2 linked regions of the Neurospora crassa OR74A genome follow. The protein of the gene in region 2 purifies or fractionates together with the protein of the main gene of each other region. This does not show direct contact. Links are inferred from orthologs where the notes say so. Each region holds a gene or a part of one and is shown on either strand. Other genes may lie near its edges.

Region 1 (4,416 bases), on a different chromosome or scaffold from region 2:
GCTACCCTCCCTCCCTTTCTCGCTCGGTTGCATGCTCAACATGCCCCCGGGAACTTTGACGGTCCCGATCCGATCCTGGCTGCGCGGAGACGACCGACGAAGAAAGCGAGGAGTGGAAGTGAGGAGGCGGAGGACGCGCCGCTTGTTTTGGACGAACAGGGGAATGTGGTTGATGGAGTGTCTGTGGGGAAGGATGGGAGGGTGATGGAGTCTGGTTCGAAGGTGGAGGGTGAGGGGACCACAGAGGGGGAGGGACAGGGACAAGAGGGGGAAGAGGGGGAGGGGGGAAAAGATGGGAAAGAGGGGGAGGGGGGAAAAGATGGGAAAGATGGGGAGGGAAAACAAGAAGGGAGAGAAGGGGAAGGGGGGGACAGAAACAAACATGGGGAGGGGAGTAAAGAAGGGAATAACAAGATGGCAAAGGAGGAGAAAGGAGTGGGAATAGGAGCGAGTAAGAAGAAGAGAAAGGTAGGGAAGGTCATTGCTGGCGATGATGACTCTGATCAAGAGCAAGATGGGGATGCTAAGGAGCCAAAGGCAAAGGCTGAGGGTACAGATGCCAAAGACCAAAGCGGAAAAACGGAACAGGCAGGGGAGAAACCAAAGCCCAAGACGGCCATGAAGAAGGCTAAGAAAATCAAGCTTAGCTTTGGTGATGGTGATGAGGAGGGTTGAGATGCCGTCGTTATCGGGCTTGGGCGCTGGAAGTACATAAACACCGACGGGAGAAAAAAAAGGGGGGCATGCCGAGAGGAAGGTGTGTGTTCAAGGCTAACAACCACGTCGGCCGGCGCATGTCCCAATAGCAAGTGGAAGGGCGCAAGATGCGCGACCTGGTGACAAGCTTGCGGATGACGAGGGATGCAAAGTCCGAGTTTGTCTATGCCGTTATGCCTGGAGTACTACCCAAGAGCTGTCCGGAGAAAAGCAATAGGGAGCTGTGCCAGAACGTCGTTCCCGATCCTGCGGTGCTCTGACTCAGTGCCAGGCAGAAGAAGCTATCTTGGATGGTCTCGAGTCTTGTTGCTCGGTACCGCAGAGAAGGTCGAGTCTAGATGATTCTGCGAATGCACTCTGAGCAAACAGCCCTAGTAGCAATCCTGAATCTAGATACTGTCACGCCAATCCAACCTCTTTCGAGCTTCTCGATGGTATATACAATTCCATGTTCAGTATTTATTTGGCCCCAGGGTTCTAGGTAGAAATCTACAGCTCTAGGTTCCCGAATGCAAGTCCAATGAGGTAACAACCACCTACCCAGCCTCATCATCACCCCCGTGTTCTCCAGGTTCGCATTCACAGTGCTTGCCTCCCAGTAAACTTGTGTCATATGCATGCATCGTATTTGTCAATGTCTTCTTCTATTAACAACCCACTACACAAAAACCTCAAACCTCCCTTTGCAAACCCCACAACTGGGTAATTTACCAGTACTCGGGCTTGACGTAGTCGGCAAAGGTCTTGGGCTCCTCGAAGCCGTGGTGGTCGTGGCCGTGGTCGTGGGCGTGGTCGTCCTGGGGACCGACGTAGTCCATCTTGTAGACGTTGCCGCACTCGGGGCAGCGCTCGACGGGGCGCTCGCGGGTCATCTATTTTTTGGTTAGAATACTCAATTTGAGCGGTAGAAGAAACAGAGAAGAGAAAAAACTCACGGTGAGCCAGATGACGTTGTGGGAGTCGGCAGGGAAGCCAGTGCAACCGGCGTACTGCTCATCACCGGCGGAGCGGACGGAGATGGGGTTCTCCATGGTGCCTATTTTTCAACTGTCAACCCCCCAGCTCCTCTCAACCCAGGTTATTACAGCAAGTCTTACCCCTGCGGGAGGCATCAAGGGGCTTCATGTCGAAAACGTCGACGCCCTCCATCTTGCCGAGAATTTCGAGACGCTCGAGACCGGTGGCCTGCTCGAGATCGGTGGGGACAGTGCCGGGGGCGGCACCGGGGCCGAAGAGGTCATCCTTGGTCTTGATCTCTGTTTGTCGCGAAAGGTATATATGTCAGTCATGTATGTTTTTTCGTCGTATGCGGTTTCGTCCGTCACCCCGCATCGTCATGGAGCGAGTGGAGGCTATAGGGAAGCTGGGCTGAACTGAGCTACCCGGCCGGTGGAAGCTGTGGTAGATAGGGGAGCCTCAAGCTTGAGCTGGTCGAGGAGCTTCTTCTCCGGTTCGTCCGCGCAATGATAATAACCCCCTCCTTTTTGTGGTCGTCCAATGCTTTCCTCCTCCTTCTTCTTGTTGTTTCATCAAGCTCCCCCAAGCTTGACTAAGCTCAGCTCGAGCTTCGAAAGACCCACCACAGCTTCCAGTTCGCGTAGCCCAGTTCTCCAGCAACCCCAATAGACACAATGGTGACGCAATCGCCGGCGGGGGGAGATCATCATACCGGAGAGACGCTTGATGTGGGGGACAGGCTTGGTCTCGGCGTTGCCTGGAATCAAGATAAAAACATGGTGTCAGTTTTGCGATCGGGATTCGGGGGTTTGTGATTGATGCGCGTTTGGTTGTCGCGAATTGGTTCGAGGTGGTGGTGGGGTCATGATGTCGTCGTCGTTGGTGGTGGTGGTGGTGATGATGCTTATGCGCGGATATTTGCAGCTTCGCGATTGGAGCTTTTTTGGATGCCGTGCTTTTTTTCAGGCCGCAGCCGCTAAAAACCAAGAGACGTTTCCAATGTTCACTTACAGCGCACAACGGTGGTGGCGATGCTGCGACGGAGAGCGGGGGCAGCGGTGGCCCGGCGGGCGACGGCGACGGCGGTGCGGGACAGGAGCATGTTGGCGACGGCGGCGGGTGGGTGGTGGTGGATGGTGTGATGTCGGAGTGACAGAATTGACCGGGAGAGAGCGGAGAGGCGGGAGATGATGTTTTGTCGCTGTCTGTCCGAATCCGAAGCTGGTTTGCCCACACTGCCGTGGGTCCCACAGCTGAGCTGGGCACCACTGCAGTGGACAGAGGCCCCGACCGTGCTGCCCTTCCCTTCTGCCGCTGGCAACTGGCGAACGGGCGGTTGTTTGGTACGAATGGAGGCGCTTGGACCACATTCTGGAAAGCTTCCCCAGCTGGTTGCCAGAAGCAGCTAGCGCACGGTCAGGTGATGCAGCACGTGGGACCGCTCATATCATCAGTACTGTACCATGAAGTGAAGCGACAATTGCGTGATGAATACATGGCAAGAGACTGTGTGAAGCAATCCTAGGTTTCAATTGACTTGGGTACGGCATAGATTATATAATGATTGAGCTAACTGGGAGCAGAAGGAAGAAGGTCTTGATGAAGCTATTGCAGGTTTGACTGGCGTGACCCTAACCCTCCAAGCCCCAATCAAACATCGACAATGCTCCACCCCGTCAAACGGAACTCGGGCTTTCCAGCTTCAAACTACCGGGCCCAATCCGGCTTCCGTGTCCGATAGTGGATCCCCGGATCGGCGCCCTGTGCAAGTTGGAGCGGCACCATTCCGGAAGTGTGCAAGTTATCTTATCCAACTAACTCACGAACGAGAACACAACACAACAAACGATCCACAGCTTCTTCACCACAGCCGGTAACCGCCACCGGTCCTTTGTCAACTCCCTCCCCTCTCACCTCCACCCGCTCCTTGAGAAGGAGGAGCAGAAAGGAAAGTGGTATCTGAAGTTGTAGGGGCTGGGTGGTTGTGGAAGAGGTGGAGGCATGCATGGCAGTGAAATTTCGCATATGAGAGTCGGGTTCGGAGTTTGGGACGCCTGGGAGCTTACACAACACTCGTATTTTACCTTGTTCAACATGGAGGCTCAAGACATGGAAACACACAGGACGTCTTGTTAAGCACATGACCACGCCCTACAGCTACGTACTCCTCTCTCTGCCTCCTACCCACTAAGTAAGATTCTTACCTACATGATACCACCTCCTAGTGGCGGAAAATTCCCACCTCCCGAACACCACCATCCCCAAACCCCAGAGTCCTGTCCCATGGTTCTCGCCCTGTTGAGGCACAGACGATGCACCCCGTTTTTTGTTTCCCATTTTGGAAGTTGGGCAACTGGGGTATGCGGGGAGCCCGTCATGCAGTTACTGTCGTTTGCTTCAGTTGAGCGGTTTTCAGGGTCTTGGATGTCACTCACGTGGTCGATACTAAAACCGGCGATGGTGCTGGATGGCTTGCATACCCCTGACTGGATGAGGATGAGGTGGGTGTCGAGAAACATGCGATATGGAATGGTGAGACAGGGGCTTAAGTCTTGGAATATTCCACGAACCATACCTACCTCTGTTCTAGCCACCCGACCATAGGATCGGGCTCCTGCTTTGTCTTTAGGCATACATTCTGAATGGTACCCAATAAACCAAGGCTGATCAGTCCGGGGTAATCTGAGTAGATCTCCTCGGGCGGAGTTGGTTCCGCGGCTGGGGCGCAAATGGCTCGGGGTC
Region 2 (4,263 bases):
GCTCAGTGACAGTCAAAGCCTCCCAGCCCAAGTGGTAAAGTAAACATTCGACTTGGTGATCCGTTCATATAAGATGAGACTCCATAAGCGCTTGATTGACTGCGACGTTCACCCACCCCTCACTTCTCGCTTTCGGTGGCATCGGCATGCCTCGATCTCGGTCGCCGTCAATGACCGTGGCGCCTGCCATAATTTATGTTCGAGAACAACTTTGTCCAGTCGTGGTGGGTGAATCGTGGCCGCCATGGTGCCTCGGGTAGTCGGCAAGTCAGATCAGACGAACGATGGAACTTCGCTTGTTACATGACCCTAGGAGCAGCCCCTTTGAGCCGCAAGGGTGAGGGGTTTCGAGAATTTGGTGAAGAAGTGAGAAAGCTGTGTCAAGACGCGCCCGGGAAGGCGAAGTTCAAAAGATGAGGTTGTTTTGTTTGTGGGGGAAAAAGACTCAGAGCAAGGGGGAGCGCATGGGGGTACAACCTAGCCCCTGCAATGAGACTGCAACCCACCCGGCCAGCATTGGCAAGGGGCTATGGTTGGAGGTAGTGCACTAACTATGTGTCGGCTTGAGTAGCGCACAAGATGTTAAGGCGGGCTTCAGATATAATTACGTTCGGAGAATTCCTCAGACGTCAATGAAACAACCAGGGTAAGCTACCGGTTCGCGGGCGTTTCCTTAACTCAGCTACCAGAGTAGCACGGGCGGGTATACCGACTGGGCTTGATTCGCAAGGTTGGCCAAGCTAAGATTAAGTTGTCAACATCTGTAATTCTGGTCGAGCTGCTCTCCAGCAATTCGACATGTAGCCTGTCTGTCCCACACCCGCATAAAAGGCCATTTGTATTTACCAATGCCGTGTTGGATGATCAGATGCGTTAGCATTGGGAGGTTCATCAGCTGACCTATGGTTTCCTCACAAAGCTCTTAGCCACAGCCGACTGCCATGGGTCGAGGAAGACCTTCTCACGGTACCATGCTCCAGTGAGCCTCTCATACAATAGGATTTTCTACAAAGCCAGTCTATAGGAAAACGCAAGGGTACAACACTCAGCAGCAACCTAGCGCCAAGCTCAGCACCAATAATAGGTATGTAGGGTTGCGTAGGTGAAGAACGCAGTTCTGAGTATATAGAAGTTTCCGACTCTCGAGCGCATATGATCGACCGTGACACCTGATTTGCTGTTGTGTATGCGTATGTGTGTCTTCTGTCTATAGGATAGTCGTACGAAACCGCGTCAAGAACCACGGAAAACAAAAATCCCGTTTTATGGTCTATGACATGCTTCCACTCAAGCCCTTTGTCGCAATACCCCCGTACTAATACAATTCTCCCTGTCATCGTCTCTCGGGCAGCAAGGGAAAAAAAAAGTGGACAAGGGAATATCGAGAGGATTCCCTAGTAGGTTTGGTTAAAAATTGTGTCTTGTTTGTTCAATCGGAAAGTTTTGTCTTTTTGCTCGCTTAACCAATGACAAGCTTGCCCTCCTCAGGGAACTCGTAGAGAGGGATCTCGAGGTTCAGAGGGGCAGGTCCTTTCCTGATACGGCCAGAGATATCGTAGTGAGAACCGTGGCAAGGGCAGAACCAGCCACCGTAGTCACCGGCCTCGCCGATGGGAACGCAACCCAAGTGGGTGCAGACGCCTGTTTTGTTCACACACCAAATGTCAGTCTCCCCACATCGTCGTGTATCCAGGATCTGAGCATCCAAAAATGCTATCCTTCGTCTTGTTCGGATCGCAAAGAGGGACATGGAGGGGCGTACCAAGCATGACGAGCCACTCGGGCTTCTTGACACGGTCGGCGTCGGTCTCGGGGTCACGGAGGGTGGCAACGTTGACCTTGTTGGCCTCTTCGATCTCCGCAGGGGTACGGTGACGGATGAAGACGGGCTTGCCACGCCACTTGATGATGACCTGTAAAAGTAGGAAAAGACCGGGGTCAGCATTCCATCATGGTTTGATCGTCGTCGGGAATCGATGTGCCCAGCTCAGCTCAGCCCAAGCCTTTGCTAATCCGGTTTCGTAGGGATCCTTACGTTCTTGCCCTCGGGGATGGCGTTGAGGTCAACCTCAACCTTGGCCATGGCCAAGACATCAGCGGAAGCCGACATGTTCTTGAGGAACTCTGTATAACACGGTCGCCTCGTCAGCTGTCTTTAGTTCTTGGGTGTTCGTGGGTGCATGTGCAAGATGGCATTTTCCCCATGTATCCATGCTTCAACATCGCCCCAAGGTCCAACCATATCCGCCCCGATATCGAAAGTTGTCATAGTGGTCGCAAATTGGTGATCGATGAGACGGAACCGTAGATAGCTCGCCCCACCATAACAGAACCCCCTTGTCGAATCCCATTGACCCGAACCCATCTGTCCTATGCCACCTCTTTGTTTTCCCCAACCTCGAGGAATGTGTGAAGCTTCCTCCTCAAATCCCATCAAGTCAAGACTCACCCTGGATGGTGGACTTGGCGCCGGCGGCGGTGATGGCGCCCATGGTGCCGACCATGAAGTAGGAGAAGAGCATGTTGGTGCTGGGGGGCGCCTTGCTCATGTATTTGCCGAAGTCGGGGACCTTGGCGGCCTTGCTCTCGCCCTTGAAGGGGCTCTCGAAGGTGGAGGACGAGGAACCCTGGAGGGCAGTCGAGGTGGTGAGAGCGCGAACGGCCCGGGCGGGGGCGGCAGCGGCGCGCATGGCGGCGCGGGAAACGATCGAGACGGGCGCCATTGTGTCGGTAGAATTACTCGCGTGGACAGAGGTCGGAGCGGAGAGAGGGGGTTGCGAGAGCGGGGAGATCGAGCGAGGTTCTGCTCTTTCGGAGTCGCGGGAGGACGGTGGACGTGGGCGGTGTTCCGGAGACGGAATTGACGGCTGCGTAATGCGGTCGAGACGACGAGGCCAAAATCACGGACTGAGGTTTTTCTGGGCCGAGCTTGGTTCCCACCTTTCCCGGCATGGGAAACCGCCATAGCTACTGGCTTGTGGCCTGAGGCACTAACCAACCACAGCGTCCGCCCAGCAGCTAGAGAGCTACTTAATGCGCCGGCCCTGATTGGCTGTGACTGCCTGTTCGTCCACTCTCCGGTTTCTTCCGTCGCCTGGTTCGTCCTGTTGGTGGTGGTGATGGTGGTGGTGGGGCTCACCTCAGCGCGTCACCGCAGCGCCCGGACAACTTGAACTGTCAGCGACTCGGCGAGCCAAGGGTGCCAAGACAGTGATGTCAATTGATCTATTGATCATACATAATTCATTCGTTCATCTGAGGCTATTCACAGACTCATCTTCTCTCACCCTATGCAGCCATGTTTTGAGCACAGCACTTATTGACAACACTTGCAACTGCCAAAATCTTCAGCAGCCAAAGCGATGACTTGTAGACATCCAATCATGCACGTTAAGTGTCTAACCGTTGGCTCAGTGCATCCTCCGTAGCTCCTCTACCATATTGCGCATCTGCTCAACGCTCGGCCCAAGACCTTCGCAGATCTCCTTCTGCGTCTTCTCATCCACATCCAAAAACCTCTCCAGCAACTCCCCATCCAGGAACCTGACCGGCCCAGTCGTTCCATCTGCCTCGGGCCCCCTTTCCGCATTGCGGAATGCCCTGTAGGAGTTGAAATCGAGTTCGCCAACTGTCTTGATCACCGCCGCCAGTTTATCCTGGAACCGAAGTAAGAGGTCTTGTTCGCGCGCAATCGTACCAAACATGTAAATACCGCCTTCCGCCTGTTTTATCAAGTCAATTGTTAGCCTTGACCTTGTGACATGATCAATCTGAGAAACAGGCAACTTACCGTGGCCAAGAACGCTCGAGGAATGATGATGGCGTTCGGGCTAGTCTCGACCTTGATCGGGCGTATTTTGTTCACCTGTTCTCCCAGGTTGAGCTCGCTTGTTATCCTCAGTTGCCGCTGGTCCTCCACTGTCACGCCCTCAGCATTGCGTTGAAGCACGATCAGATTGCCATTGGCATCAGCTTCAAGCCAAGACTCGCCCTCAACGTGAGCCACGGCCGTTGCCCACGCAGAATGCCTGTGTCTCGCGCACTCTACCAACTTGGGGGCTTCGGACTTCTCCCCTCCGGTTTTGGCCGGGACGTACTCGACCAGTGTAGCCGACTTCATCATATCAGCAACAGCAATCATGTTGCCATGCACCGCGATGTCGACCGGATAAGTTGTGCACCGATAAGACGCGAGCTTGACGAGATGGGCCTCAGTGCTTGACGTTTCCTCGTACTGGCTGATAACCACTGTCTTGTGGAGTG

What was found.
Region 1: the proteins of fes-1 (region 2) and cox-4 purify together in Saccharomyces cerevisiae (affinity purification with western blotting; 8 studies listed by BioGRID, with this or other methods). This does not show direct contact. The link is inferred for Neurospora crassa OR74A from reciprocal best matches to the Saccharomyces cerevisiae genes RIP1 and COX4.

What each region holds. Positions count from the first base shown.
Region 1 is NC_026503.1:514,078-518,493, forward strand, and holds the start of cox-4 (cytochrome c oxidase polypeptide IV), read right to left. Parts: upstream 2,981-4,416; 5' UTR 2,777-2,980; coding exon 2,686-2,776; intron 2,432-2,685; coding exon 2,387-2,431; intron 1,974-2,386; coding exon 1,815-1,973; intron 1,754-1,814; coding exon 1,653-1,753; intron 1,590-1,652; coding exon 1,425-1,589; 3' UTR 676-1,424; coding exon of another isoform or gene 1-675. Other genes in the region: NCU05688 (hypothetical protein), read left to right, coding at 1-675; NCU16615 (hypothetical protein), read left to right, coding at 3,958-4,278. UniProt on the Saccharomyces cerevisiae protein: Component of the cytochrome c oxidase, the last enzyme in the mitochondrial electron transport chain which drives oxidative phosphorylation.
Region 2 is NC_026504.1:1,785,073-1,789,335, reverse strand, and holds fes-1 (ubiquinol-cytochrome c reductase iron-sulfur subunit), read right to left. Parts: upstream 2,931-4,263; 5' UTR 2,724-2,930; coding exon 2,450-2,723; intron 2,125-2,449; coding exon 2,036-2,124; intron 1,914-2,035; coding exon 1,763-1,913; intron 1,642-1,762; coding exon 1,460-1,641; 3' UTR 732-1,459; downstream 1-731. Other genes in the region: dim-8 (DNA damage-binding protein 1), read right to left, coding at 3,411-3,722, 3,791-4,263. UniProt on the Saccharomyces cerevisiae protein: Component of the ubiquinol-cytochrome c oxidoreductase, a multisubunit transmembrane complex that is part of the mitochondrial electron transport chain which drives oxidative phosphorylation.